Linked DNA regions of Nothobranchius furzeri. The protein of the gene in region 1 purifies or fractionates together with the protein of each later gene. This does not show direct contact. Links are inferred from orthologs where the notes say so. Each region holds a gene or a part of one and is shown on either strand. Other genes may lie near its edges.

What was found.
Region 2: the proteins of dbnlb (region 1) and neurl4 purify together in Homo sapiens (co-immunoprecipitation; 4 studies listed by BioGRID and IntAct, counting the BioPlex papers as one, with this or other methods). This does not show direct contact. The link is inferred for Nothobranchius furzeri from reciprocal best matches to the Homo sapiens genes DBNL and NEURL4.

What each region holds. Positions count from the first base shown.
Region 1 is NC_091757.1:38,248,802-38,252,619, reverse strand, and holds part of dbnlb (drebrin-like b), read right to left. Parts: intron 2,910-3,818; coding exon 2,832-2,909; intron 2,709-2,831; coding exon 2,557-2,708; intron 2,477-2,556; coding exon 2,422-2,476; intron 2,246-2,421; coding exon 2,174-2,245; intron 1,985-2,173; coding exon 1,861-1,984; intron 1,590-1,860; coding exon 1,467-1,589; intron 889-1,466; coding exon 814-888; intron 1-813. UniProt on the Homo sapiens protein: Adapter protein that binds F-actin and DNM1, and thereby plays a role in receptor-mediated endocytosis.
Region 2 is NC_091742.1:53,430,960-53,435,499, reverse strand, and holds the start of neurl4 (neuralized-like protein 4), read right to left. Parts: upstream 3,015-4,540; 5' UTR 2,842-3,014; coding exon 2,677-2,841; intron 1-2,676. UniProt on the Homo sapiens protein: Promotes CCP110 ubiquitination and proteasome-dependent degradation. By counteracting accumulation of CP110, maintains normal centriolar homeostasis and preventing formation of ectopic microtubular organizing centers.

The DNA.
Region 1 (3,818 bases):
ATCAGCACGGATTGGGATAGATTAATTTACACCATTATTGGATTCAGAGGGGTTGGAGATCAACAGAACTTTAAGACAGAGAGGAAATTATCTCTGTCTGGCCCAAAACAAGTTTTTATCTGAATCTGGTGCCCTTGAGCCTGTGCGGCTGAAGAGATTATTCCCCCTCAGAAGAAATGTGGAATGCTGCCGTCGCCATGGTAACTCAGTCTCCCTATCCCAGTCTGAGCGGGACTACGACCGGTGAAGGCCGTTGAATCGACTCCAGGAGTCACTGTGCTCTCTAACCCAAATACCTCCTTCCCCTGTCCAAACGGAGGTGACGAGCGCTGCTAATCGCGGCTGCATGCACTGATGTGAGGATAGTCCCCAACCCTACCTCCCCACCTAGTGGACACTTATGTTGTGTAATGTCTGAAGACTGTTGTATTTCTGTCTGAGGTGTTTTTTTCATAGCAAAGCTGCCCTCCCTGTGGAGGGTAACTCTGAAGTGCCTTTTTTTTCATCCACCTGAGCCAATCCTCATGTAACCCTCTGATCTCTGTTAAGGTAGCGTGACTCGGGTTGCGAATGACCACAGTCACCAATTCTTGTCATGTGTCTATGCCTATGTATGAATGTCTGATCTCAGAATTGTGTGTACTGAAACTCTAATTTCCCTCTGGGATTAATAAAGTATCTTTGAATTTGAATTGAAAACAAAAGGCTCCTAAAATAAACCCAAACATGTTTTTCTATCACATGAAAGCAGATGGGAGGGCTGGGTGTTTGATGCAGTCGCACTGAAGCTGATGTGTGTGAAATGACCCCCACCTTTCTGCTGCTCTTGGGGAGGGGCTTCCTGCTCATCATACTCACACTTGGAGTGCCCACCGTCCACATCAGGCTCTTATTACCCAAAAGACAAGCACAGACATGCATGTAGCACAAGTCCACACAGGCTGAGCACCACCACCAGACTCAGGCACAATGGAATTTTACTCAAAGATAAAAAAAAAATTCAAAAAGTTGATGGAAGCTTGACTAATGATGAGTAGAGCAGAGACAGCACAGATGCAGGACAGGGAGCTTTTACGTGTGAGTCGGACATCTTTTACGCTCAGTAAAAACCAGACTGTGCATCACAGCAGCTGCTCATAGTTTCCTATTGACGTATAACTAATCATTATTAGCATTTGTTAGCCTTCATAGCAGCAAGAAATAAATAACTAAAAGGTAATATTAATAACAGGTATTTACGTTTTTATAACAATCTTGTTTTTTCCAAGTATGAGATCAAGTGTAATTAGTACAAAATAAGTCATAAGCCACAGCTAAATCCTTCAAACTAACCCAAAATCTATTTGGTCAGATGTTTGGCTAATCCTCTAATTCTCCTTTTGGTACCACAAACTGCTATGCTACTGTGTGTGTGTGTGTGTGTGTGTGTGTGTGTGTGTGTGTGTGTGTGTGTGTTAAGCTCACACCTGTGGCATGGCCAGGAGAGGCAGAGCCTGCTGACACAGGAGGAGGAGAAGCTTGGCGCTGAGGTGAGCTGGCTTGCTCACATTGGTTCACTTGCTTAGACAGAAATGGGCTGTGAAGACGCCCTGAGCAGACAAACACCCGACCCCGCCAAGCATGCAGACAGATGGATGAGAGAGACGACAAAGAGCAGCCAGACTGAGCAGAGAGGAACAGACTAGACTACGACCGATTCAGTATGATTATGAGACAACTACATGGAGGGGCGGCATTAGGAGACGAGTCGCCCTGGTTTGTAGGTACGCAACCATGACGAGGGTGAGGCTTAGAAAGGTTTGCAGTTATGCAAGATCAGCTGCTGTTAGCTAAGCAATGAGGTTTACGCTTGGACCATACCTGGCTGAGGGCTCGCAGGGGCAGCAGGGGGTGTGTCCGAGTCGCTGGGTGTTATTCCTCGCTCCCTCTGCTTGAACATCTCTCTGGGGTTCACAGAACGCTGAGAGATCAGAGAGGCAGCCTCCTATAGAAGAGAAATGAACAGAGGATAGGAGATTAGGATCACTTGGACAAGGCATGAAAAATGGAAACAGGAAATCAGGCGAGCGCCAACAAGCTTGGAGGAGATCAGAATTGAGAGGAGAAGTGTTCATCCGGAAACAAGAAACAGGAGGACAGGGTTATGCAGGAGAGGGAGGTTTGGGGAACTCACATTAGCTTTCTCCACAGATTCACCTCTCCTAACTGCTTTTCTCTGGACCTCCTGGTTCTCCTGCCCCTCATCCTGGTGATGTTGAAATGAATGTTGGCACTGCTGATGTTTGCCAACCTCACTTAAGTGCTCACAAGACGTATGCACGATCAAAACATTTTTAGCGATCACCAGAGTGCATCTGCTCCTTCATGTCTCCATCAGCAGGAAGTCTCTTACTGCAAGTGTAATCTTAACGAAGCACTCACCCAGCGTTGTTTTTCCTGCTCTTTACTTTCAGCTTCCAGCTGTTGTTGGTACTTCCTGTAAAACACAAGAGAAGCAGCATGATTGGTCCAACGGCTGTTTTCACAGACCCATCTTTTCCCTCAGCTGCAGCTCACTTCTGTTGGTCGATCTGAGAAGCTCGCTCCTTGTCCCGTTTCTCCCTCACAGCAGCCTCCTTGCTCTCCCTGTCTTTCCTCTCCCTCTCCAGCTTCTGGCGCTCCTCGTCAGCCTTGCGTCGCTCCTCCTGCCGCCGTCTCTCCTCTTCTTTCTAAAAGCACAAAAAAGGTCAGCATCCAAGAAATTTGCACTAAAATACACGATCAGTAAGTTTAGAAGAATGTGTTAATGCACGTATGTGTATAATGGATACACCGGCGCAGAGTTAGCATACCTCCGCCTGTGCCCAGAAGTTGTCCTTGTTGGTCTTTCTGATTTCAGACATGGCGTTGGTTTTCTGGTACACCGAGCCCTGCAGGGAAGAAAGTGTATTTTTAACTTCAAGAATAACAGCAAAGGGTCCAAAAGAAAAAGAACATTACACTGATGAAGTCCATCTCAACACCAGAACTACTAGGATACCGCAGTTTAGCAGCTCAGGAGTTCATAATTGGCTAAAAGGGCTGTAATTTTGGATGGTTTTCCATATTAATTGAAGCAAATTATCCCTCGTCTCATGAAAGACATCTTAGAAATTAAGTGCTTAATGTTTTATTGAACCTTATTTAAAGCTGGATTTGGGTCTTTAGGACAAAAATATAACAAATATTACATATACATCTTTTTTTTTTAAGTTGCATAGTTTAGATATTTTACGCCAGGTTGACACCCGGGGGGGGGGGGGGGGGGGGGGGCATCAGCGCCGCGGAACAATTTTGTGCAGAGCATCAATCCATGTGGAGCAACGTCTCTGCCATCCTCTTCACTAGACTCAAACGATCACCAAATCCCTCGAGACTTCATCCGCGACTAAAGTAAAAAGAGGAAAAACGAGATTACATCCATGAAGAAAAGCCCACCGTTGAACTTCACCAAAGATACTGGTAGTAAATAAACCATCAGGTCACTCGTAGATAGGGATGTAATGGTTCATGGGGGAGTGTTGAACCATTTCAGATTATTTTTTCCATTAGATAATTTATTTTTGTTTGCGTGATTTAAGTGCAGCAGATAAAAGTTCCTAGGTGAGTTTCCGCACGAACGCTGTATTGAACGACACATGATGGCAGCACGCGCCCAATCTCCGTTTAAAAAAATGTGACCTGCAAATTCTGATCAACGCCTTTCAGAGCGGATCAAACCAGCTGGCTGTCGCTGCTACCGTGGACCCTGTAGCGACCCTGAACGGAGCGTCGCTTTGCCCCTCCCTTCCTTCTCTCAC
Region 2 (4,540 bases), on another chromosome or scaffold:
ACACCCCCCACCCCCACTGCACACCCAATGGGGAGGGCCGGCGATTCGTAAAAATGCCAGGGCCAAATTTTGGTCCCGGTCCACCCCTGCCCACACTAGTATGAGGAAGCTAAAGGGGGCCAAAAAAAATCACGGACTGATGGTGGCCTGGCTTTGTTGCTACTGGACTTGTAAGTAATAATATTTTTTTATCCAACAGTGCAGATCTTTGTACTTTTTGGTTTATTTTAGTATTAGTTGGCTCATGTTAGTGTTAGCAGGGTTGTTTATGACAGTTGTAATTACACTTTCCACCAGTAAGGGGACGGGGGGACGGGACTTATTCAGTGTTGCTTTAACATATTTTCCCCAAACACAAATGATTCTAAAAATGAATACCTGCAATGACAACTTCACTGATGAACTGTTGGTTAACAATATAGTGACTTCCCCACTTACTTTATTCCATCAGGCAGAAAATTGAGCTGCCTCAAAGTCTTGATTCCAAGGCAGAGAAATGACTTTTCTAAGGGTGTGAGGCTCATGACCTCTGACCTTAAAGCTGTTCTCTACACTTTGTGTGGTTTTAGATGTTTACGAGGAGATCACAGCTAATATCACCACTGCAATAATCAACTGTGCTTGTTGTGATTGCACTTTTTTTAAAAACTTGTGCACTTCCAGGACAAGCCCTAAACCACTCAGAGTCCACTCACTAATAATTCACTTCATTCATCTCGAGTTTACCCCCACTTCCCCTGCAGCACAGCAGATGAATTAGCAGGCATGCCAGGGGGCGCTTTGTGATGGAAAAATATTGATTTCCAGGTCATGATAGCGTGAGCTTCATTATGAGAGCTCTGATCAGACAAAGCGGGGTGCGTGATCATTTACAAGCAGTTGGTACCTATTAAGCCAAATGTTGAGCTTACTGACACTAACAACTGCTGGCCTGTAGACCCCAGAACGGCCTTTTAAAAAGTGTGTAGGATGTGTGGCCCAGTTGGCACAAGTTCAGAACAGAAGAAATCTTTGATCAATTCTGCAGATACAGAGAAGCTTTTATGAGAAACGTAATAAAAATGTTGATGCTGCTGAGAAACTTTAGTCATACTGATGACTGGAAAGCCAACAGAGCATTCCTAAAGAAGAAAATCCGGTCCAGAGGATCCATGCAAAATGTCTTTACATGTTTGCATCTTCTGTTTATGAGAAACCTGCATCTTTTATCGTTTCATTTGTGAAATTATTTTAAATAAATAAATTTTTTGCCGTCCTCCAGGTCATCCTTTATTTCATGTTCTACATAATATTTTCACTTGCTCTTCAAGAATCTTGCTGCAGCACTCTGAACAAGCTGGAGGTGAGTTACAGCTACCAAATAAGGCAGAGTTACAGTAGTCTAGGAATGGCGTAGTGAAGGCATGAACAACAGTCTCTAGTCAGCAATGGCTTTACATTAGCCAAGTGTCTCAAATGATAAAAGGAAGAAGATGGAACTGATGTGAGCATCAAAGCAGAAAGCAGTGTCAATCTTCAAGCCAAGATTGACACTCATGTAGAAATATAATTCACCACGTTAGGGAACCATTAGGCCCAAAAAAACCTATTTTATTTTCATCGAGAAACAGGAAGTTCTCCACCATGCCAAACATGCCTCGACTCCAGCAAAACAACCCTTGGGATTTCTAATGGGGTGGTCTCCAGCGTCATCTAAAGGTAAATATAGTTGGCAGTCGTCAGCATAAATTTAGAAACCAATTCCATACTTTTACAGGATGTCACCCAGTGGGAGAATATAGATAGAAAACAACAAGGGTCCAAATATCAAACCCTGTGGGACCCCCTCAAGGCAGATGTGAGAAGGCAGGAGAAACACCATCCAGCATCCTCACACATATGATCCTGTCATGAAGATGTGATCTTAACCAGCTCAAGGCCAGACCAGAAATCCCCACATTAGTGCTGAAGATGAAGGAGCAGCACGTCATGGCCCACTATGGAAAGCTGCTGTGAGAAAACCACAGCAGAGACATGAGATGATGCCTTAAGATGTTAGTTTATAATCAATGACTTGCTTACATTTAAGGTTAAAACACAGTAACTTTAAGAGTCTGACCAATTAGAGAAAGTCGGGATTATTCTAAGGGGATTAAGGTAACCAGGCAGCGTGTTGCAGCGCTGAAGGGGAGAACCAGCTCCAGATAAACTCAGAACAGTGATTTCTGTTCCTCTGGACGCCGCAGCACCATCCCTGCTAGAAGCTTATAAACAAAGCTCACCTGTCCCGTATTTAACCGCTCGGCCGCCTTACATGAACGAAAGCAGCGTTTTCTCCACAAACACGACAGAAACCTCCTGTGGTACCTTCCAGAAAGTCCAGTCCAACCAGCAGCTAACCGGTGTTTAGCACGGCTAACCAGTACCGGAGCAAGACGGGCGGGTTGCTGCTAACCAACTCGTTCGTTTATCCTATCTACTATCCGGGAGGTGTTCATCAAGTCACCATGTCCCTGTAACGGCTCAGATAAAATCCCCCCTCCCAGAGGTCGCGACTGAAGGCTGCGGTCGCTGTCAAGCTCTGCGGACCTGCCCCCGGGTGGCAGAAGCCCCTCGCCGCGGGCAGAGTCAGACAGACCCCCCGGCTCGTCGCCGCTCCAACACCGCTCAGCAGCAGGCGGGCCCGTGCTTGTTTACCTTCTTGTCAATCCGGACGGTGAAAACATCCCGGTCCCTGAGCGGCTCTTTGCTGAGCACCAGGCCGTGGTTGAACTCCTGGACTGGCTGGTTGCGCCGGGCGGTTCGGTTCGAGTTGGACAGGCCGACCAGCTTTCCGCTCCGCGGATGCAGCTCCGCCGCCATCTTCAGTGGGCGGCAAGGATTCACGACGCTGCGAATTTACGACAGTTTAGCTTCACTTTCAGCCTTCACGGTAGTATCCCGAAAACCATGGCAACCGTGTAAAAACGCTACAAAAACTCTTTTGAGGAAAAGTAGGATGGTAACTTTAACTTGAAAATGAACTATTTAAATTATTATGTATTCACGTGTATCTGCGTCTTCGCCCTGGTTAAGAGTCTTTCATTCTTTTCCGATAATTTTGAAGCCTACAGAAACAAAGTTGTACAAAATATAAATTGTTGGTTTGTCTGATTCCCTTTTTAATTGATTTAGAACATTTTTAAAAGATGTAAGCAAATTTTCCGCAGTAAATGTTAATTCTCACTAATATAAAGTACTGCATGAAGTGTCCCCCAAGTGTCGATCCAGACCCCACTCTGTTCAGTCTATGCTTCCTCATAGACTCACTGAGTTGTGCATTTCCTCATCAGCATGATGTAGATCCTAAACACTCTCTTATTTAGTGCATCAATAATACTAATTAATGCACAGTAAAACGAATAGAAAACGTAACCTATTATTTTTTACAAGTAAATAGATTAAATCTGAAAACAGAATCACACCGTCGTTCTAAAAGGCCAAGGACACGACAAGGTTTAATAACTATTTGTCAAAATCTGGCTAATAGATGCTAATTTATGAAATTTGGGCTGAACTATTTAAACTTTTATGAAATTCATCAAATGTGTTTTATTTTGGGCTGTGCTTTTAATATAATTAGCCATATATCTTGCTTTTTATGTTCAATGGAAGCCACACTTCGTTTTTAATGCACTATATTATTTAAATATATGTTGATTTAAGGTTTTACCCAAACCAAACGGATTTATACAGTTTACCTTGGAACCAAGGAGGTGATGAAAGAAATTAAACACTACTTGTAATGATCCACTAGGGGGGGCTACTTCATCATCTCTGCCAAACCTCATTGAACAGAATTTACCCTTCATTTTACCACCACCACCACCATATTAATTAATATTCACTAATAACCATTTTAGGGAGAGACATTTTTTTATTCAGAACCTGAAACCTGTTTGTGCCAAGGTCAAACAAACACTGAGAATCTTTTCTGGATATTTTATTACAGCTGCAATTGGAAGAGATGTTGAATTTAAACAATATTACATGTTAATGAGAAATTATTTATGCGTCATTTTAAGACTTTTTAATGACACATTTAAGATGAACGCATAATTACTATGAGGCGTGTGTGTAGACATTATGACTGAGGCTGGAAGCAGTTTGATTTATGTCTCAAACTCTGTGTGATGTAAACAGTTTCATCACTGAACTCTTTGAAATTCAGCTATTTTATTTATGTATATACTCAGTTTATGGGATTTGGTTTGTTTTTCTCCTACATTTTTTCTAACATGATTTCCACTTTTCAGAATTTTGTGTCGTTGCATGTTTTTATGTTGGAGGTTTCTCATTATTCTCTAAAATTTGACACATATTTTGTGTTTGATGTTAATTTTCAATGGCTGATGTAATCATTTGTTTAGTGATTTGATTTTACATCAGAAGTCTGCATATCTTGCTTCATCTGTATTAGTTTGGTGGGTGACTTATGATCTTTTTTAAATCAGCGGCTAATTGTTTCCTTATTGTAATTTTTACAACTCCTGTTGAGTATTTCATACTTCTTTAAGGTCAT